7 linked regions of the Sus scrofa genome follow. The protein of the gene in region 1 interacts with the protein of each later gene in a pairwise test. Links are inferred from orthologs where the notes say so. Each region holds a gene or a part of one and is shown in the gene's direction. Other genes may lie near its edges.

What was found.
Region 2: the proteins of THAP1 (region 1) and C2H1orf35 interact in binary tests that used the Homo sapiens proteins (3 or more experiments, as listed by UniProt). The two-hybrid records come from large-scale screens. The link is inferred for Sus scrofa from reciprocal best matches to the Homo sapiens genes THAP1 and C1orf35.
Region 3: the proteins of THAP1 (region 1) and MRPL11 interact in binary tests that used the Homo sapiens proteins (3 or more experiments, as listed by UniProt). The two-hybrid records come from large-scale screens. The link is inferred for Sus scrofa from reciprocal best matches to the Homo sapiens genes THAP1 and MRPL11.
Region 4: the proteins of THAP1 (region 1) and TCEA2 interact in binary tests that used the Homo sapiens proteins (3 or more experiments, as listed by UniProt). The two-hybrid records come from large-scale screens. The link is inferred for Sus scrofa from reciprocal best matches to the Homo sapiens genes THAP1 and TCEA2.
Region 5: the proteins of THAP1 (region 1) and RBM10 interact in binary tests that used the Homo sapiens proteins (3 or more experiments, as listed by UniProt). The two-hybrid records come from large-scale screens. The link is inferred for Sus scrofa from reciprocal best matches to the Homo sapiens genes THAP1 and RBM10.
Region 6: the proteins of THAP1 (region 1) and FAM133A interact in binary tests that used the Homo sapiens proteins (3 or more experiments, as listed by UniProt). The two-hybrid records come from large-scale screens. The link is inferred for Sus scrofa from reciprocal best matches to the Homo sapiens genes THAP1 and FAM133A.
Region 7: the proteins of THAP1 (region 1) and BAG5 interact in binary tests that used the Homo sapiens proteins (3 or more experiments, as listed by UniProt). The two-hybrid records come from large-scale screens. The link is inferred for Sus scrofa from reciprocal best matches to the Homo sapiens genes THAP1 and BAG5.

The regions. Positions count from the first base shown.
Region 1 is NC_010459.5:11,770,522-11,774,593, reverse strand, and holds the start of THAP1 (THAP domain-containing protein 1), read left to right. Parts: upstream 1-1,272; 5' UTR 1,273-2,203; coding exon 2,204-2,274; intron 2,275-4,072. UniProt on the Homo sapiens protein: DNA-binding transcription regulator that regulates endothelial cell proliferation and G1/S cell-cycle progression.
Region 2 is NC_010444.4:51,238,526-51,242,532, reverse strand, and holds C2H1orf35 (multiple myeloma tumor-associated protein 2), read left to right. Parts: upstream 1-1,207; 5' UTR 1,208-1,258; coding exon 1,259-1,352; intron 1,353-1,458; coding exon 1,459-1,609; intron 1,610-1,751; coding exon 1,752-1,797; intron 1,798-1,892; coding exon 1,893-1,972; intron 1,973-2,187; coding exon 2,188-2,260; intron 2,261-2,361; coding exon of another isoform or gene 2,362-2,426; coding exon 2,427-2,512; intron 2,513-3,105; coding exon 3,106-3,231; intron 3,232-3,316; coding exon 3,317-3,374; downstream 3,375-4,007.
Region 3 is NC_010444.4:5,977,129-5,981,290, forward strand, and holds the start of MRPL11 (39S ribosomal protein L11, mitochondrial), read left to right. Parts: upstream 1-1,362; 5' UTR 1,363-1,596; coding exon 1,597-1,719; intron 1,720-2,084; coding exon 2,085-2,180; coding exon of another isoform or gene 2,181-2,466; intron 2,467-2,630; coding exon 2,631-2,724; exon of another isoform or gene 2,725-2,725; intron 2,726-2,809; coding exon 2,810-2,969; intron 2,970-4,086; coding exon 4,087-4,162.
Region 4 is NC_010459.5:62,880,166-62,884,138, forward strand, and holds the start of TCEA2 (transcription elongation factor A protein 2), read left to right. Parts: upstream 1-1,173; 5' UTR 1,174-1,302; coding exon 1,303-1,374; intron 1,375-3,973. UniProt on the Homo sapiens protein: Necessary for efficient RNA polymerase II transcription elongation past template-encoded arresting sites.
Region 5 is NC_010461.5:41,790,898-41,794,397, forward strand, and holds part of RBM10 (RNA-binding protein 10), read left to right. Parts: intron 1-1,246; coding exon 1,247-1,316; intron 1,317-3,112; coding exon 3,113-3,186; intron 3,187-3,500. UniProt on the Homo sapiens protein: Binds to ssRNA containing the consensus sequence 5'-AGGUAA-3'. May be involved in post-transcriptional processing, most probably in mRNA splicing. Binds to RNA homopolymers, with a preference for poly(G) and poly(U) and little for poly(A).
Region 6 is NC_010461.5:76,148,349-76,152,151, forward strand, and holds the start of FAM133A (protein FAM133A), read left to right. Parts: upstream 1-1,500; intron 1,501-1,584; exon of another isoform or gene 1,585-1,608; intron 1,609-1,614; exon of another isoform or gene 1,615-1,705; intron 1,706-1,725; exon of another isoform or gene 1,726-1,856; intron 1,857-1,890; exon of another isoform or gene 1,891-2,083; intron 2,084-2,490; 5' UTR 2,491-2,560; intron 2,561-3,803. Other genes in the region: NAP1L3 (nucleosome assembly protein 1-like 3), read right to left, coding at 1-1,145.
Region 7 is NW_018084979.1:2,104,974-2,107,336, reverse strand, and holds part of BAG5 (BAG family molecular chaperone regulator 5), read left to right. Parts: coding exon 1-363; 3' UTR 364-2,363. UniProt on the Homo sapiens protein: Co-chaperone for HSP/HSP70 proteins. It functions as a nucleotide-exchange factor promoting the release of ADP from HSP70, thereby activating HSP70-mediated protein refolding.

The DNA.
Region 1 (4,072 bases):
GGGAACTAATCGGAGCTGTAGCTGCTAGCCACGGCCACAGCAATTGGGATCCGAGAAACACGTGAGGTAGACCACAGCAACCGGGTCTCAACCCATTGAAACCCGAGTCCTCACGGATACTAGTCGGGTTTGTTAACCACTGAGCCAGGAGGGAGGGGGAACTCCTTCCTCATTCCTTTTTTTTTCGTCTTTTTAGGGCCACTAATGGCCACACTCGAGGCATGCGGAGGTTCCCGGGCTAGGGGGTCTAATCGGGGCTAGAGCTTGCCCGCCCTGCACCACAGGTACAGCACCGCCATTTCCGAGCCGCGTATGCGAACTACACCACAGGTCACCGCAACTCCGGATCCTTAACCTGCTGAGCAGGACAGGGATCCAACCTGCAACCTCATGGTTCCTAGTCGGATTCGTTTCCACTTGCGCCACAGTGGGAACTCTGTGTCTTCCTCATTCTTGTTTCCACTACCAGCAAGCCCTGGTGTTTCTACCTGTTAGCATAGGCATCTACTCCTTGGTCCAAAGTTGCCAATCTCCTGTCTGCTTGCAACAGCCTCTTAATTGGTCTGCTCTTATTAATTGGTCTGCTCACTCACTGTTGCCCCTCCCTGATAAATTCTTGGCATAATAGCCAGAATGACCTTTTATTTTTTTATTTTTTAGTCTTTTGCTGTTGTTGTTGCTATTTCTTGGGCCGCTCCCGCGCATATGGAGGTTCCCAGGCTAGGGGTCGAATCGGAGCTGTAGCCACCGGCCTACGCCAGAGCCACTGCAACTCGGGATCCGAGCCGCGTCTGCAACCTACACCACAGCTCACGGCAACGCCGGATCGTTAACCCACTGAGTGGGGGCAGGGATCGAACCCGCAACCTCATGGTTCCTAGTCGGATTCGTTAACCACTGCGCCACGACGGGAACTCCCCAGAATGGCCTTTTAAAAACGTTTATTAGATCATGTCTCTCCCCGCCTAAAATGGCTCAGCGGCTTCACGCTGCAGTATGCCCCCACCCACTCACTGGGCTCTGCCATTGCAGGCCCCATTCAGTTCCTAGAAGACAGACCTTTTTACTGCCTCCAGGCCTTAGCACGCACTTCTTGTGGCAGAAACCCTCTCCCCCCGACCCGTTGTTTGGTTCTCAGATTTAACATTCCCTTCTCAGAGAGTAGGCAGTGACCCTCTCCTTACTACCCTCATCTCGGCATTCTAATGTATTCAGGCACCTGAGCACACTGTGATTTTATTTACATTTTTATTGTCTGTTTCCCCTTACTAGGACTTAAGCTACGAAGACTGGGCCTATGCTAGTCTTGCTCACCAATTAAAAAAAAAGAAATTATGAGCCATGAGATTACTCAACAGCCCGTTATCGACACAGACGAAAGGAGCCGGCCAAAAGGGCTGCAGCTGTTGGCGAGTCCCAACACGGCACCTGGAGATCATTAAGATAACTGCAGCATTAGTGAGAGAAGCCCCTAGAGACTGGGCTCGCGGTGTGTGCAGGTGCGGGCTTTCCTGGCTAAACTCTTCACCTGGGCTCCGCAAAGCCTCAGAATACCTGAAGCAGGTAAGAGAGGTTAGCGGGCCGGGAAGGGAGTCCACCAAGTTTTACACATCACGCCATCTGGGACCGCCCTTTTAGAGAAACAAGGCAATTATGCAACGACCTCAGCTTTACACCTGTCCTGCTTCAGGCCAGCAGACCCAATAGACGGTAGAGTGCCGCGAATCTGAACCGCCCAGCATAAGTAACCCCAAGCAGCACCGCCGGGGCGGAATCGGTCCTGCGCTCCCACCCCCCTCTCCCAGGTAATTACTCCTTCCTTCCGGAAGCTCGGAGGCCCCGCCCACTTCCGCAACGCTCAGTCCGCCGCGCGGCGGGACTCAGCCAATGGCCTGCTTCCCAAGAAACGTTACCTCTGACCTCAGGGCTAATCAAGAGACAGTAGGACTAACGCCTCGCGAGAGGTGAGGTTGAAGCTGTCTCCGCCATCTTGGAGACGGGAGACGGGCGATGGCTGTGGTCCTTCTGCTAATGCAAACAACAAAACGGACACATTAGTCGCTCCCGAGTGAGCCTCTCGTCATTGTAACTGTTGACCAAAGCTACGGAAGAAGAGAGGGTGTCAAAGTCGAGCGCGACGACATTGATAGCAGCCTCAACTGCCTGCTGGGGCGGCAGAAGTGAAGTAACCAGGACCGGAAGGATGGTGCAGTCCTGTTCCGCCTACGGCTGCAAGAACCGATATGACAAGGACAAGCCCGTTTCTTTCCACAAGTAAGTATCCTGAGCGCCTCCTGGGCCTCGCAGGGGCTGGGGGCGCGCGGCCCTGCTCGGGGGCGGGGCCAGGCGCGTGTCCGCGCGAGACCTAGTGGGAGGGGCGGGGCGCCGTCTGGCGCTGGGACGGGGAGCGGTGGGCGTGCCCCTGGCGTCACCCGCGGCGCTCCGCCCCGGGATGCGCGTTCTCGGTTGCGTCGCCGCGGAGGCTGTTCCTCGCGCTCCAGTTTCTAGCGGAGCTCAGGGTAGCTAGTTCGCGGCCCACCCACGAAGCCTAGAATTCCCGTGAGTCGTGGGGTGTCCAGACCGAGAGGCAGCTGGGTCTCACCACCAGGGTCGTAGAGAAGCCAGGTAGTAATGCCACTTTAGCCGTAAAGTTGAAGAGGAAACAGCCGGGAAGTCACGAACTTTGATCCCCTGCGGTGGGGGGAGTCCAGCATCACAGCATTTAGGCATTGACGTGGGCGGGATTTCAGGGAGGATGTTTTGGACTCTGCTCCTGAGGACTGCTGAGTTTTAGAGAGAGCTCCAGGCTGAGCACACTATGTTAACGGGCAGTAGTGGTACACTGTGCATGATAAAATCAGCCGGGCTGTCACGGACCTGGAAGAAGCCCTCGGAGGGGGACACGTTCCCAGTTCTAGGGCCGGTTTCACCTTAGAGGTCCTAGGAGGAAACAGGTCTCTCCAAAGAAAGCCGAAAAGTAGAGTGACAATGATAATCCGATGTCTGCACGATGGCATTTTCATTCAGCCAAATTCTATATTTACAGATGTTATCACATAAAAAGTGTTTTGCAATAATCTCAACCGTAAATGGATGATAGCTAAAGAAATAAAAGCCAGTGATAAATTATACGATTTATAGCGAAATAATTTCAAGAGCAAAATCTTAAGTATTCCTTCAGTTTGGAGGGTGGGGCCTTTTATGTTTAACAGGGAATGTGGATACATTTTTGTACATTTGGTGTAACACTAGAGAGCTGAGGGAGCATAGAGAAATCTTGAGAGTGTTGCTGTTTCCCTTCTAAGGGGAGAAACACAACACTTCCAGATTCATTTGAGGGGGTGATATCTTAATATTACTCTTGATTTATTAGAATTTCTGAAAGCTGATGGATTGGCCTCCAGTACTTTCAAAGTCAAGGGAGTAGGTCTGGAGGTGGTGACACCATCGCAGGCTGTTCAGCTACCCACCTTCCAATTTTTTTTTTTTTTCCTTCGTCTTTTTAAGGACTGTTCCAGCTGCACATGGAAGTTCCCAGGCTAGGGGTGGAATTGGAGCTGCAGCTGCTGGCCTACGCCACAGCCACAGCAATGCCAGATTCAAGCCACATCTGTGACCTACACCACAGCTCATGGCAACGCCAGATCCTTAACCCACTGAGCGAGGCCAGGGATCGAACCCGCACTTCATGGTTCCTGGTCAGATTTGTTTCGGCTGCACCACAACGGGAATTCTAGTTATAGGATTTTAAAGCAAGTACATTTTTTAATTTAATCACTGCACCAGTACTGGGAGAATATGGAAGTTTCTGGGCCAGGGATTGAATCCGAGCTGTGGCTGTGATCTACACCGCAGCTGTGCAATGCTGGATCGATAACCCACTGTACCACAGCAGGAACTCCAAAACAAGTCCATTTTTAACAAACTAAGGTAATAAAGGCACAACTAAAAACTGTCCCCCAAAAATGAGCAAAGTTAGCATTTTCATCAAATACTCATTGGTGTGTTAACACCAGTATAAGCTAGTTCCTTCCAAAGCAGGAAAGTCTGGATGTGCCCTTTTTTGGAATAA
Region 2 (4,007 bases), on another chromosome or scaffold:
TCTGGGCCTGACCCAGTAGGTAGGAGCCAACAGCCTGTGGGAGATGAACCTCCCCCACTCCTGACCCCTTCTGGTCCACTCACCATTCTGTGCGGCTGCACAGGGACATCCTCCCACCCCAATCCATCCCAGCAATGTGTGGCTATGCACTTCCAGGCCCTGCTGACCTCCTCATCTTTGCTCAAGAACGCCCTTAAGCAGTGAGGCAGGTGAGGGAGAGCAAGGTGAAAGACCTCACCCCCCCCCCCCATTATCAGATGAACTCACTGAGCAACCTGCAGGAGGGCCATGTCTTGTGAGAGGACCAGTACTGAAGGGATACAGATAACATGTGTGGCACCGTGTAAATTCCTCAGTACATTCATCTTATGGTTTCAGTTCAGTAGGAGTTGGCCAATGGAGTGGCACTCCTCTCTGCTCATTAGGACCTCTTATGACTGAATCTATTCTGGTCTGCAGTGATGACAAACCGAACACCCTTGCCCAACAACTAGCTTACTATAGATACTGAGCAGCAAAGACCAAAACTGTTGAATGAGGATCGTCTGCCAGTGAACACCTTGAGGGTGACTGAGGCATTTTCTGTGCTCTTTGAGGTATGAGTGCAATGAGGTGTGCTTCCATACTTTTTTGGGAGCCACACAGCTGGTATCCCCAAGGGTGGAGAACAGGCCAGTGCAGGTGCAACCTGACCTTGGTGGCTCCCGGTTTATAAGGTAGGGAAGCTATAGTAGGGAAACAGTTTCAGACATAGTCTCCCCCAGTGCCTACCCCTCTCCCCAGCACAGGGCCAGAAACAGCACACACTAGCAACGATGACTCGGGGGTGTCACCCACACAACGTGACTCGAATTTATTTTTTAGGGCCGGACCCACAGCATACGGAAGTTCCCAGGCTAGGCGTCTAGCAGGAGCTGCAGCTGCCGGGTCTATGCCACAGCCACAGCCTCACCCACACCAGATCCGAGCCGGTTCTGCGAGCAGCTCATGGCCACACCGGATCCTTAACCCACAGATCCGGTCCAAGGATCAAACCCATGGCCTCATGGATACTAGTCCCTTTCATTACCTGTGACCCACGACAGTGGCTTCCAATAATGCGGCGGTATCTGCCGCAGCCTCCGACTTTGGCCAGGGCCACAGCAGTGCGCAGGCGTTAGAGGCAGGCGGGGGCGGTGCAAGCGCGCATGACGTCACTGCGTGCGACGCGGGGTGGAAACGGGGGCCGGTGGGGCCTGGGTAGCGGGAAGCCGGCACCATGTTCGGCTCCAGCCGGGGTGGAGTGCGCGGTGGGCAGGATCAGTTTAGCTGGGAGGATGTGAAGACTGACAAACAGAGGGAGAACTACCTGGGTGAGCGGGGTGCCGGGACCCAGGGTGGCGGCGGGGGTGTCTCTCGGGCTGGAGGTACGCCAACCTGCAGCGCCGTACCGAGGACTCGGCGCTCGGTATCCCGCAGGCAACTCGCTGATGGCCCCGGTGGGCCGCTGGCAGAAGGGCCGTGACCTCACCTGGTACGCCAAGGGCCGGGCGCACGGCGCGGGGTTGAGCCGGGAACAGGAGCTGGAGGCCGTGAGGCAGGCGGAGCAGGAAGCGCTTATGGCAGCGTTGTGAGTGAGCCTCGGGAGCTTGGGGGCGGGGGGGAATTACCTCCTGGTTGGGGGTAGGGCGGAGACCGGGGCTGGGCGGGGGCGGGGGCGCGGGCCGAGGAGAGGCCCGCCACTCTCTGAAGCTCACGCGCGGCCCCCGCAGAGGCTACAAGAACGTAAGGAAGCAGCCCACGGGCCTGAGCAAGGAGGTGAGAGGTGGGCCCTCTTGGAGGACGGGGGCGGGATGGGGCGGGGGGGCAGACCCCACGCTGTGGTGAGCGCTTGCACTCCCCCCCACCCACAGGACTTTGTCGAAGTCTGTAAGCGGGAAGGAAGTGACCCCGAGAAGGGAGTGGACCGGCTCCTGGGCCTGGGCAGCTCCAGGTGCGGGGCTGGGGAGGTGGTCCTCGGGGACCCCAGAAATCGCGAGGGTGCAATTCCCCGGGGTTCGGCGCTGTCAGCCGCCCAGGTGGAAGCCGTTATGGGTCGTCTGAACTCATCACTTCTCTAGGGAGGCCTACGGGTGGGGATGGGGTGGTCCTCGCTGTCGGGAGAGGGTGTCTCACTGTGGGGGGGGGTCCCCACCCGCGTCCCCGCAGTGGCTCTGCAGGGCGAGTGGCGCTGTCACGGGAAGACAAAGAGGCCGCTAAACTGGGGCTTTCGGTGTTCACGGTAATTCCTCCCGACATCCTGGTTATCCCATGTTGGGGTGGGGGTGGGGATGAGTGTCCCTTCCTGTTGAAAGCCGTGGGGCAAATCGTCTCCCCTCGAAGGGACCCTACTGGCTTTCTGGATGGTTCTCAGGCCCGCACACCCCCAGAGTGGCTTTTCTTGGCAGCACCACCGCGTGGAGAGCAGTCGGCCAGGGGTCTCCCTGGCTTCGGCCAAGAGGAAGCCTCGGTCAGAGGAGAAGGTGGAGCCAGGGTAAGGGCTGGATAAGTGGACCCTACCCGTGCTACTAGGACACAGAACTCGGTTCGCTCTGCATGTTGTTTGCTCCACCAGACAGTAAAATTCCTAGCTCCAGCCTTTTTTTGGGGGGGAGCCGCTGGAGGTTGTGAGCCCTGGGGCGGTTCCACTTGCCCCCTGACTCCTCAGTGGGATCAGGGGCCCAAGAGAATGTTCAGACATGAGTCACTTTCCGGGGTCTGGGGCGGGTGGGGTGGTGAACCACTTCCCCTTCCCGTTGCTTTAGCTGCCCAGCGAGGGGTGTGAGTGGCACAGGAGGGGATCACAATTTGGCCCCAAGAGTGCAGGGTGGAGTGGGAGTGGGGAAAATCGCAGTGGGAGGGTTGGAAAGGGGCCATGAGATCGTCAGATTTTCTGCCACGATTGGAATGCAAGTAAGGGTCTGTGCCCCCGACCGTGGTAGTTGCTGGCTACAGGTGGTACTGAGGAGTTGCCCTTAGTGACTTCAGGTTGAAATGGCTACACATGGTTAGTGGCTACTGCAGCAGCCCCATCCCTGGCTAGATTCCAAAGCCCCAGAGGCACTGGCACTTTGTGTCCCCTTGCAGCCCTGAGAGCCACAGGAAGAGCAAGAAAGAGAAGAAAAAGAAGAAAAAACACAAGAAAGAGAAGAGAAAGAAAGAAAAGGAGCATGGGAGGGGGTCACATTCCTCACTGTCCCCTTCTTCCATCCAGTAGGTGCAGCTGCCTGGGGGTAAAGAGGCGGGGAGTACTGGGCAGGCAGGGGCCCTCAAGCCAGGTGTCCCCCGGTCTCCCTAGGCATGATCCCAACTCCTCGCCTTGTTGCAAGAGGAAGCGCCGGCAGGACAGCAACTGAGATCCAGAGATCTGAAGGGCTAGCCTATGGGGATCACCCCAGGCCTCGAAAGAGGCTTAACTGTGGCCTACTACGGCTGCTTTTATTTTTCTTTGTATTGACTCACTCTTTGTACGTAAATAAACTTATTTTAAGTGGAAAGTGTTTCATACTAAAGGGAAGGTTGCTATCATATGTCATAATAGAAAGTGATGTGTGGGAGTTCCCGTCGTGGCGCAGTGGTTAACAAATCCAACTAGGAACCATGAGGTTGCGGGTTCGGTCCCTGCCCTTGCTCAGTGGGTTAACGATCTGGCGTTGCCGTGAGCTGTGGTGTAGGTTGCAGATGCGGTTTGGATCCCGCGTTGCTGTGGCTCTGGCTTAGGCCAGTGGCTACAACTCCGGATTCGACCCCTAGCCTGGGAACCTCCATATGCTGCAGGAGCGGCCCAAAGAGATAGCAAAAAAAAAAAAAGACAAAAAAAAAAAAAAAAAAGTGATGTGTGAAGATGTGATCTCTTGGGTTCTAGCAAGGCTACCTGTGATCCCACTGGGAAGGGCACTGTCCTTTTGGTGGTCAGCATCTCGGAGTCTCATATTGACCAAGAGCCCTGGGTCATGTGTGGCCAGAAGGAGGCCACACGGGTCAAAGGG
Region 3 (4,162 bases), on another chromosome or scaffold:
AAATCATAAGAACCTGGCTTATTTTACTGGACACAGATGATGTATCAAATACATTCGGGGCCTCATAAGCCTCCCAGCAGCTCCGGGAAGGTTTTGTCCTTATTGTACAGTGATAGCAAACGTTGACTAGGTGACAGATACTATCCTAAAGCACTTTGCTAACTTAACGCTCACAACTAGCCCCAGGGTATAGGGGGCCACATGTTATAATTCCCATTTTGTTTATTTAAAAAAAATTTTTTAAATTAAAGTATGGCTCAGTGGTAATGAACCTGACTAGTATCTGTGAGGATGCAAGGTCCATCCTTGGCCTCCCTCAGTTGGTTAAGGTTCCAATGTTGCCGTGAGCTGTGGCGTAGGTCACAGACCGGCTAAGTCGACTCCTAGCTTGGGAACTTCCATATACCGAGGGTGCAGCCCTAAAAAGACACACACACACACACACACACACACACACACACACACACACACACAAAAGTATAGTTGATTCACAATGTTCCTTCAATTTCTTTTTCTTTTTTTTTTTTAGAGGGCTGCACCCACAGCATATGGAGGTTCCCAGGCTAGGGGTCAAATTGGAGCTGTAGCCACCAGCCTACACCACAGCCACAGCGACACGGGATATGAGCCACGTCTTCAACCTACACCATGGCTCATGGCAACGCCAGATCCTTAGCCCACAGAGAAAGCCAGGGATTGAACCCGCATCCTCATGGATCCTAGTCGGGTTCGTTAACTACTGAGCCATGAAAGGAACTCCTGTTCCTTCAATTTCTGATATACATAAAATGACCCAGTCCTACATATATAAACATTCTTTTTTTTTTTTTAATTCTATTTTCCACCATGTTCTAACCTAAGAGACTGGACACAGTTCCCTGTGCTGTAAAGCAGTATCCCATCATTATCTGTTCTAAACAGCTTGCATCCACCAACCCAACCCCCCCCCCCCCCCCCCCCCCCCCCCCCCGGCAATCACAAGTCCACTCTCTATAATTCCCATTTTACAGAGGAGGAAACTGAGCATAAATAACTTGGTCAAGTTCACAGCCAAGCAAGAGAAGCAAGCAGGCAATTTGCTTCCAAGTCCATACTCTTAATATTTCTTTTCAACAGCAGGTGAAGACACGGGCTCATAAAATGAAGAAATTCCCTCGCCTGAAAAAGGAGCTCTAGGTTATTTTCAAACCCAGAGATTATCTCCGTGTCCAGCAGATGGCGCTCCAGGACACGCCACTCTGTGGGGTTTTCCTAAGAGGGCAAAACTACCATACCCATAAGACAGGGCGGCGGCTGAGGGCCTCTTTTCGCTTAGGTGTCTGAAGCAGTGCCTGTGTGCTCTCCAGGAGGAACGTGCGTATCCGAGCCATTCGGGTCCTTCCTCAATTTAAGATGGCACGTTAAAGGTTTTTCCCGCTTCATCTCATTCCCTTTGTCATTAGTGGGAGAGCGGAAGGACGGAATCAACGCTACTTGTTGGCTTCATTTGTCCTATCCTAGTGTGAGGACCCTTGACCTTTAACCCAAGCTGGCGGCGCCCGGAGCCTTCGCTCTTGCCGTGGACCTGCGATGAATTAAGGCCAGGAACTCCGCACCATGTCGAAGCTCAGCCGGGCCACTCGGGCCCTCAAGAAGCCCGAGGCCAGCGGCATGATCCGGGCCATCGTGCGGGCAGGCCAGGCCAGGCCCGGACCCCCACTCGGCCCCATCCTGGGTCAGGTGCAGCCGCGGCGGGAACCTGGAGTGGGAGGCCAGGGTCGGGTGGCCGCTAGTACGCGCGTGGAGGGTGCGGGCTGGAGCCAGGGCGGCCTCGGTTTAGAACATGGATCTGCTTGTCCACACGCAGTATGGCTTTGGGTTGGTCACAGAGCTTCTTCAGTCCTTCCTCGACGAGCTGTTGTGAGCCTAGACAGACGTGGAAGCATACAGATCACCTGGCACAGAAAATGCTCGTTGAATCTGGGTAGAGAAAAAAGGATGGGAACTTAGAGAAGTGAAGACGGAGGAGAGAACGGACAGAGAGCCTCCTGGGTGGTAGGAAGCTTCCCTGCGCCCCCACGCTAACCCCTGTGCCTCCGTCACAGCGAGGCGTTTCCATCAACCAGTTCTGTAAGGAGTTCAACGAAAAGACAAAGGACATCAAAGAAGGCATTCCTCTGCCCACCAAGATTTTTGTGAAGGTGCGGAGTTGGGACGCTGACCCCCAGTTTCCTTCTCATTCTCCCTCTTCTCCCCAGGTCCTGAAGCTGGTCGCTTGGGGTTGCTACTCTGCTTCTAACTTGGGGCACGTGTCATCCTGTTCCTGGGCCCCACTGTCCCCATTTACACGGTGGAGACTAGTCCGTATCTTTCCGGAGCCCCCCATCTACTGCCATATTGCAGATCTTAACTTTGCCCCTCCAGCTTGCTGGGGCTTCCAGAGCAGAGTTGGGTCTGGAAGAGAGGTGACAGGGATGTTTATGGCAGGTGAATTTTTCTGTGGTTTTGTGGTCAGTTAAATGGGCATCATAGGAAGGTGATTTGGGGAAAAGGAGGGACAGGAAGTTAAAAGTTCCCCAGGCAGAGGCAGCAGGGGTGGGGTGGGGGGGGAGAGAGAAAGAAGTAGTCTCATATTTCTTTTGTCTGTGAAGCCCGACAGGACATTTGAAATCAAAATTGGTCAACCCACTGTTTCCTACTTCCTGAAGGCTGCTGCCGGGATTGAGAAGGGGGCGCGGCACACAGGTAAGGGGCAGGGTGGGCATGGGGATTCTGCAGGCTCTGGAAGGAAGCAGTGACCTCTGAAGAACAGCTTGTTCTTTCCTCCCAGGAAAAGAGGTGGCAGGCCTGGTGACACTGAAGCACGTGTACGAGATCGCCCGCGTCAAAGCTCAGGATGACGCCTTCGCCCTGCAGGACGTGCCGCTGTCCTCTGTTGTTCGCTCCATCATTGGCTCTGCCCGTTCCCTGGGCATTCGTGTGGTGAAAGAGTGAGTGTCCAGGGGAGGGTCTGGAAAGTTCTTGACCCTGGGACAAAGATGAGGACCCACTGAGTGGGAGAGTCAGCTCCTGACTTAAGAGAGCTTAGATTCTTGGGAGTGCAGGGCCTCATTCACTGGAATGTATTTATTAAATATTCGTCAGATATTGTCCTGGACATTGGGTGCAGCTGGGAAGGAGGTAGCCATGCTGGGTCTGGCTTCTAAGGAGCTCACAGCCCAGAGATGGAGGCGAATTCATAAAAGGAGAATTATATTGTTGGATGGTCGGTGTGGCTAAAAGGAACTACAGGTGTCTTGAGTACAGGGATTAGGGTTCCTGATTTTGCCTGGTGTGTCAGTGAAAGCTTTGCAGAGTCCTTGACATCTAAGTAGAGCCCTGGGAAGCGAGGTCAAGGAGTGGGGGCAAGCATTCCAAGAAGTGGAAAAAATGTAAGGTGGAAGAGAGAGACGCAAAGAAGTTCGGTGTGACCCGGGTGTGTGCTACTAGAGGCGGAGTGGGAAATAGTATGAAGAGGGGATGCAGACAGGGACCAGTGTGTTCTTGAATTCAGACTTGACCCCAAGGCCAGGAGGGGTCCCCTCATGGGGCTTCCGATGACCTCAGGAATTGTTTTTTTTGAAGTGAGGTGTCAGGTGGGAGAGCATCCGGCGTGGACAGCAGAGGCAGCACCCAGCCCTTCGCTGGCCTCTTGCTGCTGGTGTTTCCCAAGAGGAGTGGGGTTAAGCATGGGACAGGGATGGACTTGACTTTGCTCAGGTCTTCACTTGTACAGAGGTGAGTGCATGTGATCCCTGCTCTAAGAGAGACATACAGGCACCAGCTAACGACCTCTTTGTACAGAATCTTTGGGGCACAGAGGAAAAGTGGGTTAATTTGGCCTGGGATGTAGCCGAGGTCTCGGAGGTTGAGTAGGGCTTCAAGAAGGGAATAATAGGCAGAGGCGATGGGGGGGTGGCATTCCTGGCGGAGGAAACAGATGGGCAGAGCCCTGGAGGCTGGGGAGTCCAGCGGGGGAGGAGGGGTTCTGAGAAGGTGCCGTGGGCACCTGTGAGCCCCCCACCAGTGCCAGGCCCTCACGTAGCGTCTGTTTTTCTGTACCCGCAGCCTCAGCTCAGAAGAGCTGGCAGCTTTCCAGAAGGAGCGCGCCCTGTTCCTGGCTGCTCAGAGAGAGGCAGATTTG
Region 4 (3,973 bases), about 51 Mb from region 1:
TCTTTTCTTGGTCTTTTTAGGGCCACACCTGCGCCATATGGAAGTTCCCAGGGTAGGGGTCAAATCAGAGCTACAGCTGCTGGCCTACACCACAGCCACAGCAACTCTGGATTCTTAACCCACTGAGCGAGGTCAGGGATCTTACTCACATCTTCAGGGATCCTGGTCAGGTTCATTAACTGCTGAGCCACAAAGGGAACTCCTGGCCTGAATTTCAGTGACTGTGGGCCCACAGCACTGGAGACAGATAACAGTCCTGAGCCTCTACTCTGCCCCATAATTGTGCCACCTCCGGCAAACCGCCCAGCCTATGCATCACTGGGGAGGGGGCCGACCTCGGATGGGGATACTGGCCCTGCCCCTCTCCCCAGCCTTCCCCAGGGCAGGGCCATCCCTCCGCTCTCCAGCTGAGTGCAGTCTGGCCCTTCCCAGGGCCCTCCAGCAGCTACGGTGATGACAATCTGATTGCTCCCGTCCCTTGCCCTGTTCTCGGTGCACGACGTGAATCAGCTTACTTGATCCCAACAGCGGCCCTGTGAGGCAGGCACTACCACCGCCCCCGTTCCCGGCCGGGAGACTGAGGGACAGAGAGCCTGGGATTCGCACCTGGAAGCTGACTCCGGAGGGAGGGGCCCCGCCCACGCAGCCTCTCCAAGTCCCCGGGTGCCTTCCTAAGCCCACCCCTAGGCTCTTCCAGACTCCGCACCCGGCTACTGCTCCCTCCACCTCCAGGCGCCCCGCGCGGGCCCGCGGCCACAGTCCAGGACAGAGCGTTCAGGCGGCGGCCGAGGCACAGCGGGAGGTGGAGGAGGCGGAGAGAGGGGACGGACCCCGGCGTGCCTTTGAGGCCCCGCGCGCCTTTGAGGCCCCGCGCGGAGAGTCTGGCGGCGAGCGGTACGGCCCCCACGCGCGCGGCCGGAGGCCACACCGCCGCAGCGCCCTCCGCCGGCTAACCGGTTCGCTCCGGAGCTTGTGCGGCTGCGAGTCCTCCGGCCCGCGGGCCTCGGGCCGTGGCCCGCGTCAGGACTACATTTCCTAAGATGCCAGGCGCGCCCGCCTGCTTCTTGGGAGTTGTGGTCTGGGATGGGGAGAGCGCGCGCGTGGTTGGCGGGCGGGGGAACTACGTGTCCCAGGATGCAGCGCGGCGCCGCGGGGGCCGGGAGTTTGAACGGGGGGTCTCCCGCCCACGGCGGGGCTGCGTCTGCTGCGGCGGGTGCGGGAGGTTGCGGCGGCCGGGGCTGGGGTCTGGGCCGGAAGGCTGAGGCTGGCGCGGCGGGCGCTGGGGGCGCTGCCCCCGAGGCGATGATGGGCAAGGAGGAGGAGATTGCGCGGATCGCCCGGAGGCTGGACAAGATGGTGACCAAGAAGAGCGCGGTGAGGGGCGCGGGCCGCCACGACCCCAGGGCCCCCGCCTCGCCGAGCTCCCGCCGAGACTGCCGAGCCCCCGCCAGGGCCGCGGCGAGCCCCCGAGGGTCAGGACAAGACCCCGGCCAGGCAGAGACTCCCGGGACGCGGGGAGACCCCCGCAGGGGGCCGAGACCCCCCACCCTGGGCTGGCCTTGCCCTTCACCTCGCACCCACGGCAGAGGCCGCGATCCGGCCTGGACCTTGTCCCGGGAGCTGCCCGCTCTGGACTCAGACCCCAACCGCCAGGCTGAGACCCCGCAGGCCTGGGGTCCCCTGACTCCGGACCCCCTCAGGAGGCTGGGCCGGCGGAGACCTTCCTCGGCCCCGCCCCTCCAGGCCTAGCGGAAGCCCCGGCTGATTCAGCCCTTTCTTACCGGCCGCCCCGCCCTCTCTCCTTCCTCCTCCCCTACCTGCGCATCCTCGCTGCCCCCCCGCCCCCCCAGCTCCCCCAGAGCCCCACCGCCGACTCAGAGCTCTCTGTCCCACCCCGAGTCTCCACATCCCTTTCCTGGCCTTCAAGAGTTTGTAGTATGCGTTTGGACCCCCTTTCCCTCTGGAGAAAAAGCGCCTCCCCTACCTCTGCCCGGTCTGGGGCCGCCGCCCTCTATCTCATTTTAGTAGCCGGCTGGAGGCCTTGCCTGGCGTAGGCCCATTTTCTTCCTTGTCTGTTCAGTCTTCCAAGAACTAGGCTTCCCTAATAAATTCTCTCCCTTCCTTCGCCCGCAGCTCTTGGGAACGGGTCGATGTGTAGACACCCCCGGAGAGAGCCCTGGGAGGCCCCTGGCCCGTCCTGGGGGTGCCTGGGCGCTGGACCCTGGGCCAGCCGTGCAGGCTGTGTGGCCGGGCCTCTGTGGTCCCTCGGCCAGTGAGTCTTTGGGGAAGGCTGCACCGAGGCCTCTGAAAGGGGCCGGGTGGATGGGTCTCCAGTTCCCCTTGGACCTTGGCCACCTGAACCCTCACAAGAATCATCTTGGGTGGGTGGTACCTGCCTCTAGGGGCTAGAGAGGTGTCCTGCTGGCTCCCCGAGAGGCTCAGTAAACATGGCCTGTCTCTCCCCAGACTGAGCTCCGGGGGCGGGGCAGAGGCTCTGCCGTGGGCCTGAGAGGGTGGCGTTTTGGGCTAAGCAAGGTTGCATCGGACAGAGTTCTACCCTGGGGCTGCAGCTGGGGCTGGCTCCCACGCTTTCATTCGTCCGTCAGCCGGCAGGCAGCACCCCCCAATCCCGGCATGACGCTCACACCCCTGGGAGACTGTGGGTGGCACAGAGCAGGGTGTGGGAACATCTACAGCTGTTTCCAGAGAAAGAAGCTTCTCCCTCCCAAAGGAGACAAAGCAAGTGCCCCCCAGGTGGGGACTGAGATGGGCCCGCAGCCCAGGAGGGTGGGTGGGCCAAGCAGGACTGGGGAGGGCATCCAGAGGAAGAGCTGCAGGAGTGGAAGTCCAGGGAGGGTGAGGCGGTGGAGCAGGTGTGGGCTGGAAGCGGGTTTGGGGCCACCACTTCGTGGGGAGTGAGAGCCAGTGGAGACTCCCGGTGGGTCCCAGGGCCTTGGAGGCCCCTTGGGGGAGTTGGGGGTCATGACTGGGAGTTGCGTTTATGCCTCTCAGGTCTGGAGGCCACAGGGAGCTGGTGTTCCGCCGCCTGAGGCTCCATCATGGGAGATGAGCGCTGAGTGGCACTGAGCCCTTGGCTCTGGCGACCATTCGTCTCCTCTGATGTTCTTAGCACGGGGCCTGCTGGGGCTGATGGGAGGGTTGTAGCCTGAGCAGAGATGCCATCCAGAGCAGGGAGGGGGCCAGTTCAGCCCCTTCCACGGCCAGGCTGCAGGACATCTGAGGCTCTCCGCACCTTGGGTGGCCGGGTCGGATGTCTTTGCCTCCCTTCGTGTCGTGAAAGAGACGCACGCGTGATGGTCTGTGGGTTAGGTAGGCTTCGGTGGGGGAAAGCCGAGTGGGGAGGGGTGGGCTGTGCGGGACTGCCCACTGTCTTCAGTGGGCAAGCCCTCCCCCAAGGTGTCATTGGAACAAAACTCTGGAGGGCTGGCGGTGCAGGTGTGTTGCAGGCAGTGAGAGCAGCAGGTGCAGAGGTCCTGGGGCAGCCAGGTTGCATCCCACCCCCGGGAGCCCTGGCAGCTGTGCCTGCCGTGGAACAGTGTGACCCGCGAGTGTGTGTGTGTGTGTGTGTGTGTGTGGCTGCAGAGCCGCTCTGAGGAAGCAGATGTGGAGTGGGGGTGCCAGGCAGACGAGAGACAAGGCAGCAGCAGTCTGGGTGAGGGCTGGTGGCTGGAGGGAGTGAGGAGGGGGTGGGGGTGTGCAGTCCTGGGTTGGTCGTTCAACTCTGGGGAGAGACTGCCCAGGCCACGCAGGTAGGGGACTTGGGACCCAGTGAGAGTGAGCACTCCTGGGGCTGCACCTTCACCTGGGGAGTGGGTAGCAGGAGTCACTTGGCCCTTGGGCTGGATGGGGGGCAGAGCCGCTTCCCTTCTCATGCCCGTCTTCCCTGGGCCTTTGGTTCCAGGTGACTGTCCAGATTGTCACTGCCTTGTGTCCCCCTGATCCTCACGTGTAG
Region 5 (3,500 bases), on another chromosome or scaffold:
GGCGTCTAGAACAGCCTCCTCACTGGTCGGCTAGTCGGGAGTTTCTCCTCCTCCTCCCCACCACCGGGAGTTCGCTGCTCAGCTCTCCTCTGAAACCCGCTGGCTGCCTATGTTGTCGCAGAGAAAAGCCCACCTGTGTGTGTGAGAGCTTTTCAAGTCTGGCCCACCTGCCCTGTTCAGGGTCAGATGGTAACTGAGTGCTGACATTTCTCTGAGACTGTATCACGCAGTGGGCCATGTGTCAGGTCTGATTGAATCCTCACAGCCACCCTGCAGGGAAGGTACTCTTTGTATTTTCATCCTACGGATGAGGAAGCCGGTCACCCAGTAGTGAAGCAACTTGCCCCAGGTCCCGCGGCCAGTGAGTGGCCACGCGGAGTTGGAGTCTGAACCTGGACCGCTGAACCCCGGAGCCCACATTCTTGCTGTTCCCAAGCCCTTAGCGTTAGCAGTCCTGATCTGCTCCTCTGTGTCTTTCTTTTTTCAGCCTCGTGTGTGTACGTTTACTCTCCCTTCTGTTGTTTAACCTGATGAGGCCCAGAGGCGTTAAGGCTGCTGCCCGAGAATGCCCAGCACAGGCTCCCCATCTTCTGAGAGGGTGCTACTGCCCTAGGGACCCTGCCCCACCTGGCCCAGGTCCCAAATGGCCTCTGCAGCTTCCCTCTGGCTTAGGTCATCTGGGAAGCTTTCTGAACCCCACGGCCATGCCTTTTGGTCTCCACCCCAAGTTACTGCTCCATTCATGGTCTAGGGCACATGGCTGGGGTTTGCTCAGACCCCAGGCCTTCCCAGTTTGGTGCTCGTGTCGTGGGTCTCTTGATTCAAGCTGGAGGGCAGTCCCTTTGTGAAGGGCCAGAATTGCATCCCAGCTTTCCTCGCCTTGTGGCTGCACCAAGCCTGTGGTCAGACCACCCCTGCCCACCGTTCTTGAGCTGCTGGCTCGCTTGCTCTCTTGCCGTTCTCCGCCCCTGAGGGTTGTTACGCTGCCATGCTTCCTCACCTTGCACCACGCCCCTTTCTTCATTTGACTCACTCTGCAAGACTGGGCTGAAAGCTAAGACTGGGTCCTGGTTTGGGGCTGGGGCTGGGGCTGGGGTCCCTCGGGGCCAAAGCCCTGAGAGAGGGAGAGAAGACGGTGTGTGCGCATTGCCAGTGACCCCTTGAGGCCCCAGAGGCCCCCAGGCGGCCTCAGGTACCCAGCAGCCCCTTGCACTGAGCCTGCCCCAATCCGTGTCTCCCCGTACAGATCCGTGGCCAACTGCAGTCCCACGGCGTCCAAGCACGGGAGGTGCGGCTGATGCGGAACAAATCCTCAGGTGAGCTTTCGTTCCAGTACCCTCCCCTTCCGCTGGCCAGCCTCAGCCTCCGAGTCTCCCTCCTGCCTCTGCCTTCTCCCCCACCCTCCTTACCCTGCCTTCCTGCCACAGCTGGGAATGGGCAGCTTGGGGGGTACCCTCTCTTCTTCTCTCCCCCTCGTCCCACTCTCCTCCCAGCTCCAGCCAGCAGCCTCTTGTGTGGGGCTGTTGCGGAAGGGGCGTGGCTCGGAGCCGGGCCGGGTGCTCCCCGGGGGCGGGGCCAGGGCCAGGCCCCCCGGGAACCTCATCTTTGGGACTCCGAGTATCTGAAATGGTAGCCCCGTCCCCACCGGTCGACGCCTTTCTTCTCCTGCCCCTGCCCCTTGCTCTTCCCCACATTTTTCTGGTAACAGCCTCTGACCAGAAAGTAGGTCTGACATGGCCCCACCCGTGTGTCCCAAGAGGGGAGGCAGGGGATGGCTCTTGTCCAGGGGCGCATCCCAAGGAGCAGCCAGGATTGCTGGCCTCGCTTGTTCCCTCCCTCCCTCTTGCAGGCTGCTCGGACCCGGCCTGAGGTTAGCGGGGGCGGGGGGGTTGTCTCTGCAGGACCTCTGGCCCAGGCTCCCCGAGGCAGGCACAGTGGGGCCTCGCTCTGCCTGGGCTTCTCTCTCCATCTCTCAGTCTCTCTCCTCCCCACACCTCCATGTCTTATCTCTCTATCTCCTCCCCTCTGATTATACTGTTCCATCCTCCCGTGCATCCTAACGGTTATTCTTTTGGAGATCAAGCATGCCCCTCGAGTCCCGCCGTGTCTAAGCCCTCCCTGTGTGTGTCCCTCCAAAGAAGGAGCTGCTTTCCTGCGGCCTCAAGCCCTGGATCCTTTTCCCAACCCTGGCCAGGCCTGGAGTCTCTCTCGGTGGCATGTAGGTCTTGCTCTGCTGCACCCCAGCCAAGCTGACAGGATTCTGGTCTCTCTCGTCCTGAAGTGGTGTCCCAGGCGCAGCCCCCTCTGCGGCCCTGGATGCTTCTCCCAGGTGCCCACTGGCTCTTTACGGTCTACCTGGTTGATCCTGGCCCCCGTTCTCCTGCCGTCTAGGAGGACCTGGACCGTAGGTGGCTGTAATCTTCCCAGCTTGGCCCCGAGGCGGCTGCCCAGTGAGGCCCGCCTCCCCTGCACCATGGTGAGGCTGAGGCAACGGGGTGTCCCTAGCCCCGTCTGGTTCCTGATGGGCCCGGAGCCTTCCCAGCTTCACTGAGCAGCCTGACCTGGCTTCTCGTTTGCTCCTTTGATGAAACACCTGAGACAGGCCCCCCACCCCGGGCTGTGCCGGCCTCGTGCTGGGCCCCACCACTTGCTTGTTTATTCTGGCCTGTGTGGAGCCAGCAGCCGGCCCCTCTGCCCTCCTGCCTTCTCTGGAGACAGACCTCTCCTTGGACCCTTTCCATCCCAGCTCCTTCTCTCTGTCTCTGTCACCCCAGGCTGTCCAGGCAGGTGTGCCTGAGCCCTGGCTCTCTCTCTTCCCAGCTGGCGTGTGTGTACCCCCTCCCCCACCGCCCCCCAACCTTCCTCGACTGTCTTCCTCCCTCCCTTCCTCGCTTCCCTCCTTCCCACCCCTCCCAGCCATCTACCTTGCCTCCCACCCCCTGGTCTTTCTCTCTCTGCTTTTCTCTCTCTCTCTCCCCCTTTCTTCCTTTTTCCTTTCCCCACTTCCCTCTCTGCCCCCCAGTCCTCTCCCCTCGGGTCCCACCCCCGGGAACACCGTGTGTCCAAAGCTGTTGACTAACCCACTGCGTCTGTATCTGAATGCTGTCTCCAGGTCAGAGCCGGGGCTTCGCCTTCGTCGAGTTTAGTCACTTGCAGGACGCTACACGATGGATGGAAGCCAATCAGGTTGCTTTGCCGCACTTGAACCCCCCCCCAAACAAATACTACTTTGTAATCGAGCGCTCCCCATCGCCTGATTCTTACGGACACAGTTCCCTGCCCTGTGGCCCTGTGTCCCGTCCCCCACCCCCTCTCTCTCCCCCTTCCTGACCCTCACTGTCTCCTCTTCCCACCTCTCGCTGCCCACTGGGCCTCCCACCAAGAGCCCACACTCACCAGTGGCCCCTCCTGTTGGCCAGGCACTAGCTCTGCCTCTCCTCCTCTCCCGGCTGAGCTTCGAGAGAAAGGGCTGCCGTAGGGGGAGGGAGGGTCTTTCACTT
Region 6 (3,803 bases), on another chromosome or scaffold:
CTCCAATCTATCTTACAGCCTTTGCAATCTTGGATTTCCCAGCCCCAGGAGAAGAAGGGATCATTGTGATCTGGCTTTGACTTTATTATATATGTCTTGGTCAGCACCTCATTTCTGAAGTATGGATTGGGTAGGAAGCAAAACTCAAATGTGTAACTTATAGGCCGGCCAGGTTTTGAGAACTTCAGGCTAACATCTGACAGGAACTTCAGAATGGGCTCATCATACTTCTGAATCATGGGTCCCAGCTTGTCAACATTCTTTAAGACAGTCAGCCAATAGTCGGGAATGCCTTTAGGATCTTCTCTTTTAGGCTTTCCTTTGCGAGCTCTTTTCAGAGCCCTTTCTTTAGGCCTGACCTCAGGAATTCTTTTAGGAGCTTCTTTTACAGCAACCCTGGCCTTAGTCGCCTCTGTTGCTTTAGGCTGCTCTCTGTCTTCTGCCTTTGCTTGGGGGGCTTCTTTTGGATCTTCCTTTACTTCAGGCTTGGCCTCCAGAGCATCTTTAGACTCTGCTCTTTCTTCAGCCTTTGCCTCGGGATTTTCTTTAGGGGCTGCATTTTCTTCAGCCTTGACCTCAGGTTTTGGTTTTGGGTCCTCTTCTTCCTCACCCTCTAAGGCAGGCATTTCACTAGGGCCCTCTTCCTGCACTTCCTCATCACTGCTAAACACCTCATCCTCCGAATTCCATTCACATTCTTCCTCCGTGGGCTCATATTCTGCATTGATGATTTGGAATCGCCGATCATACAGAGGCCTATTGAGTTCGGCATATTTTCTTTCGAGCTCGTGAATTGCCTTTAAGAACAGGGCGTCTACCTTGTCACATTCATCTTGAATATTTCTGAGCGCCTGCACACGATTTCTAACTGCCCGAGGCAGCTGATCCACGAAACTTCTACCCGACGGAGCCCGCCGCGCCCTTCTGGAAGGCCCAGGTACCCTCTTCTTTCTATAGAAACGGCTGCGGCTATTGCTGCTGCTGCTGCTACTGCTGCTGCTGCAACTAGTGCTGCTGCTAGAGCTGCTGCTGCTGCTGCTGCTGTCAGATTCTTCCCCAGAATCGCTAGACGAGCTAGCCACCATCTCTTCATCCACCCCCTGGGCCGCAGCTCCCGAGACCCTGTTAGGATCCGCTTCTGCCATTCTGCAAGCCTGCAAACCGCTTAGCGTGGTGACTACCGCGCGCACAGAGATGGGCCGAAAATGACTCACGGATGCTTGGGTGGCAGCGGTGGAGGTCGGGGCAGCGGCGAAGGCAGCAGGAGTGCAGGGCGGGGTGGGGCTGGGCTGAAGCCGCGGAGGCGGCAGCGACACTGGAGGCCTGAGCAAGAGCGGCAGAGGTAAGGGCTCTCCCGGCTGCAGCTGCTGCGGACCGAGGCGTGCCTCAGCCGAATGGCGCAGTGCGAGACCCCGAGATCTCTTCACTACTAAGATATTGAACCCCCCCCTCCCCTAGCCGTCAGACCTCCCGTTAATTTCGTTCCCAGTGTGCCCTTTAGCTCTCACCTCATTTGCTAGGCATGCTTGATCGACAAACCCTCAGGCCAATGAGTAGCCAAAAGCACCGCCCCCTCCAGACTCCGCCCACCTTCCCAGACGCTCCTAGGTAGCTAAGGCTCATACCCCAGGAAGACGTTTTTCCCCCTCAAAATTTTATCCTTATAGTTTTATAATTCAAAAAAAAAAAAAAGCTTAGCTATGAGGTAAAAATACTAGTCATGGTTTCTAACAAGGGAAGAGGAGTATCCTTCTCCCATCTGCCCTTCATTAATTCCCGTTTGGTTTGTCAGGGGCCTCGTGACAAAAATCTGTTTTTTAAAAATTGGATGAAAATACTCCAAATGACATCTTTGGGTAGTGTGCTTGTGGATGATTTTTTAATTCTCTTTCTTCTATCTAGATGTTCTATGAGCATGTATTTTTACACTGGGGGGAAAAGAGGGAGTCGTTTATTGGCAAAGCGGGGAGGGGCTAGAAAGCAGGCATATTGCCTTCCACGTAACAGTTTTAATAAGTGCTGTCTGTGGTGTTTGGCAAGCCTGGTTTATATCCATCTACAAGGTTTGCGAACCCATGTTGCCGTGAGTCAGTTACACCATTTTTTACTATATTTCTCCTTTTAATTTGGCGTGTAATAAACCCCAACCTTGCTGCTGATTTGCCACGTAGTCCTTCTCAATGCTTGTAACAACCTTGTAGATAAAATAAGAGGGCATTCAAATGTTAGGTAGTATTTTTTAAAAGCAGACGCTTTGTTCTATACTTTCATGCAGCACTTTTCCATTCCAGGAATAGCAGGATGGGAGGGGGAGTCTGTGCTGATGAAACTGCATCCTCTGTCAGGGTATACTTTACAATGTCATCTGCCACCAGTTTCCTTCTAAAATTGTAAAATGCTAGCCATACTAAAGTATGATTTACAAATCCAGTAATATGTGAATAAACTTGCAAAATGAAGTTTAAAAACAGCTGTTATTTTTATTTGCAGGATTCTTTTCTGCCACAGAACAACTCCCTTGGTACAACCAAAAAGACCCGTGTTTACTTTTCATTAAAAGGTAAGGAACATATTTAGCCCATTTTTATGAATGACAAGAATTACCTATATATATTTGAATAAAAATTCACGACAGAGTCTTTTAAAGACTTAATTGGAAGATAGTTCTATGTAAGCAGAAAAATCCACAGAGGTGATTTAGAATATTAATGAGGAAAATAACCTAATTAATGACATTCACTTTCTAAACCTGCTCATAGAAAGCAAGTAGCAAATTAAAACATAACATCTGATGAATTATTCATTTCAAATGAGGAAAAATATTAAAGTAAGATTAATCTTTATGTTGCTTCTTTATTATAGGATTTGTGCTTAGTCATTTAGTCATGTATTTATAAATTAAGAAACACTTTTATTTTCTATTTTGTAAATGAATTTAGTTTTATTGTTTATTCCTGATTGTCAAAGTATGTAAGCATTGTAAGGGAAAATACAATATAGAAAATTAAAATAATAATAGAAATACACAATTTTAATCAAATGATAACTATTGTTAGCATTTTGATGCATTTCCTTCTGGAATTTTCTTTGTACATGTACATGCCTGCCTATTTATATATACTGTTTCATCTTGTGAACTTATGTTTTGTAACCTGTGCATTTATCAGTTAATTGTGGCTATACTTTCATAGAAACCGATCAATATTTTATTTTAAAATAGATGCATATTTCATGGAAATATTTGCCTTAATTTACTTAACCAGATTCCTCTTGTAGGGCAGTTACTCCCTGCACCATCTTTCCACTAACGTACATTTTCCTGTTGTTAAAAAAGTTAACCCTGGATACCTGCTATATGAACTTGTAAAAACTAGTCATCTGATGAATTCCTAGAAATGGAAGTGCTAGAATGAGTTGTATTCTCATTTTACTCTTTGACACATATTGCCAAGCTTCTCTCCAGAAAAAATGATCACAATTTAAAATCCCAACAATAATGCATGAGTTTATTTAGCCATTCAACTAATATATTTTTGTGCCTGCCACGTGCCAGGCACGTGTGGTAGAGGATAATGATATAATGCTGAATAAAACTTAATGGGTGCATATCCTCTCATTCTATAATTTTCATTAAAATATATACTATGGAAGGTATGATTTAAATCAATGAAATTATGCTATAAATATTGTTCTACAAATTATTATTTTTTTAAATGATGGACATATTTTGTTAATGCTTTATATTTTTATAGTACTTTAATGATTTCATATATATGTTAAATTTTATACTATCAAGAATCAGC
Region 7 (2,363 bases), on another chromosome or scaffold:
ATCCGGGAAGCCAGGAGACGGGCGGTGGTTGAGGTGCAGACTCTCATCACCTACGTGGACCTGAGGGAGGCCCTGGAGAAGAGACGGGCCCTGGCCAGCGCGGAGCACCCCTCGCTCGCGGCCGTCTGGACCATCCTGGGGCACTTGTCAGAGATCCAGGAGGAGGTGCTCGCCTTCGACGGCAACCGAACCGATAAGAACTACATCCGGCTGGAGGAGCTGCTCACCAAGCAGCTGCTGGCGCTGGACGCCGTCGACCCCCAGGGGGAGGAGAAGTGCAAGGCTGCCCGGAAGCAGGCGGTGAAGCTGGCCCAGAACATTCTCAGCTATCTGGACCAGAAGTCTGACGAGTGGGAGTACTGAAACGCCGGGGCCACGGTGGTGTTTCTCGCTGTGCACTTCACAGAGACCTCTGTGTGTTCGTGGAGGGCGTTTGGTGCGTCGAGGCTACATGTGACTTTTGCACATGCGTACGGCAATCTCAGTATTTATGATTTAAGCAAATTATATGCGGTATCTCTGCTGCTCTCGATGTTGCAGAACAAATATTATAGCGTATTAACTTTTCCATTTGGACTGTTACCTGTACGTCGTGGTGTGGTTTTTTGGTTTTATTTTTTAAATCAAAATGGAATGGGGCAGCTTTTAAAGAAAATGTAACGGGCTGTTCGAGCATTAAAATGCGGATACTTCAGGAGCTAGAAATAAACATAGAACCTTAACGTGATAAATACCAGGACAATTATGAGAAAGGGGGGAAGCTTTGTTTAAATGGAAGGTCCACAGCGCAAAAGCAGTACAATGAGATGTTGTATTTTGCTGAATAAAGCAGGATTTTTTTTTCATTTGTAAAATCTGATTGGTCCCACCCCATTTAGTAGGGTAGGAATTTCTGTTTTTTGTATCTGTTTTTCCAGATAGTCTGTTCTTTCAGAAACATTTTGTTGAAATACAGTGTCTGTATTTCCCCCATTCTCTGAGTATAGAGAGGGGAGTCTTATTGTTGTGCGTAACATAAATTATGGAATTACTAGCAAAAAACCTTTGAGGCTGCATTGAAGAAGGGATAAGACACCAGCTCCTACCTTCAAGCTGTTTCCGGTTGTAACATCCGAATTTACAGTCTCCCTTAGAAATGAGGAAGGATGGAAACATTTAAGTAAAGTTAATGGACCTTTAAAAAAAAAAGGAAATGCCCAAAGCCATAGTAGGATAAGGAAGACTGGAGATTAGTCAGCAGTGATTAGGTTATGCCCAGAGGAGCAGCTGTGTCTGCGTGCAGCTTGCAGTGGGCTTGTTGTTCAAGGCCGCGTGCCAGACAGACTCCATCAACATCCCCGGTGCCCCGCAAGCAGACGTGTCAGCAGCCCCGAGGGACCGGGTGCGGGTGCGGGTGCAGGTGCAGGGGGGCTAAGCTGAGCTCCTTCCCTCGCCGGCAGGCGGGAGCTTCTCGGGCGCCGGGCGGGGCCAGCACAGTCTGTCTGTCTGTCTGCGTGAGATTGCTTTTCCTCTGCTGAAGGGTGTACGTGCTTCTGTTCGTACCTTTTGAGGATCCAGTTTTGAGGTTGCCTGTTAAGGTGAACAGCGGAATTGCCCGCAGCTCTGAGGCGCCTTGCTGACATGCTGTCCCCGAATCGGACCTGCGACCCCTCTGCAGTCGCCTCTCACAAAAGCAGCACCTCAGAGGACATCCTGGGACCGCTACAGTAATGTGCTGTTTTTTCAGGGGTAGTTTGATGACTTTGTAAATAGCTAAGAATAAGATAAAGGAATGGCCCCGAATACCTAAAAGATGGACAAGCGTAGCCCTAAAACCATTCACTGCGTCTCAGTGCTGCCCAAGAGTTACAAGCCCTTGAGCCCTTCCTCCTAGGAAGTCGTGTGAGGGTTGTGATCCTGTTTCGTAAGTGTGAGGTGCCCTTAAAATCCGGAAGGGCTTTCAGCTCCAGCGCTGGCACAGTCGGATCCCTGGGAAATGGAGGCTGTGCTCTGACTCGCTTCAGACGCCAGGCCTAGACGTCGCGTGAACCTCAGACTTGAAGGTGGAGTGCCAGCTTCCTTTCCAGGCGTCACTGCTCCTGAAGCAGGGCCTCCCCTCTCACTCATCTTCCAGTGTGAGCTCTGCAGCCCGTGGGGCCCGGGCCGCCGGAGCGTGTGCGAGGGGACACGGGGGACACGGGTCATCTGGGAATGACTCTGGTCACTGAAATCAACCGATGAACCTGAGTGACTGCTGAGGCACGACGTCCCCTAGGGCTTTGTACCTGGTCATTCTAGTCCCTTAATGAGCCCAAGGGACACTGTCCCTGGTTGGGAGGCCTGTGTTCCTGGGGGCATGTAATTTTTAAACTGGGCTCGTTGCA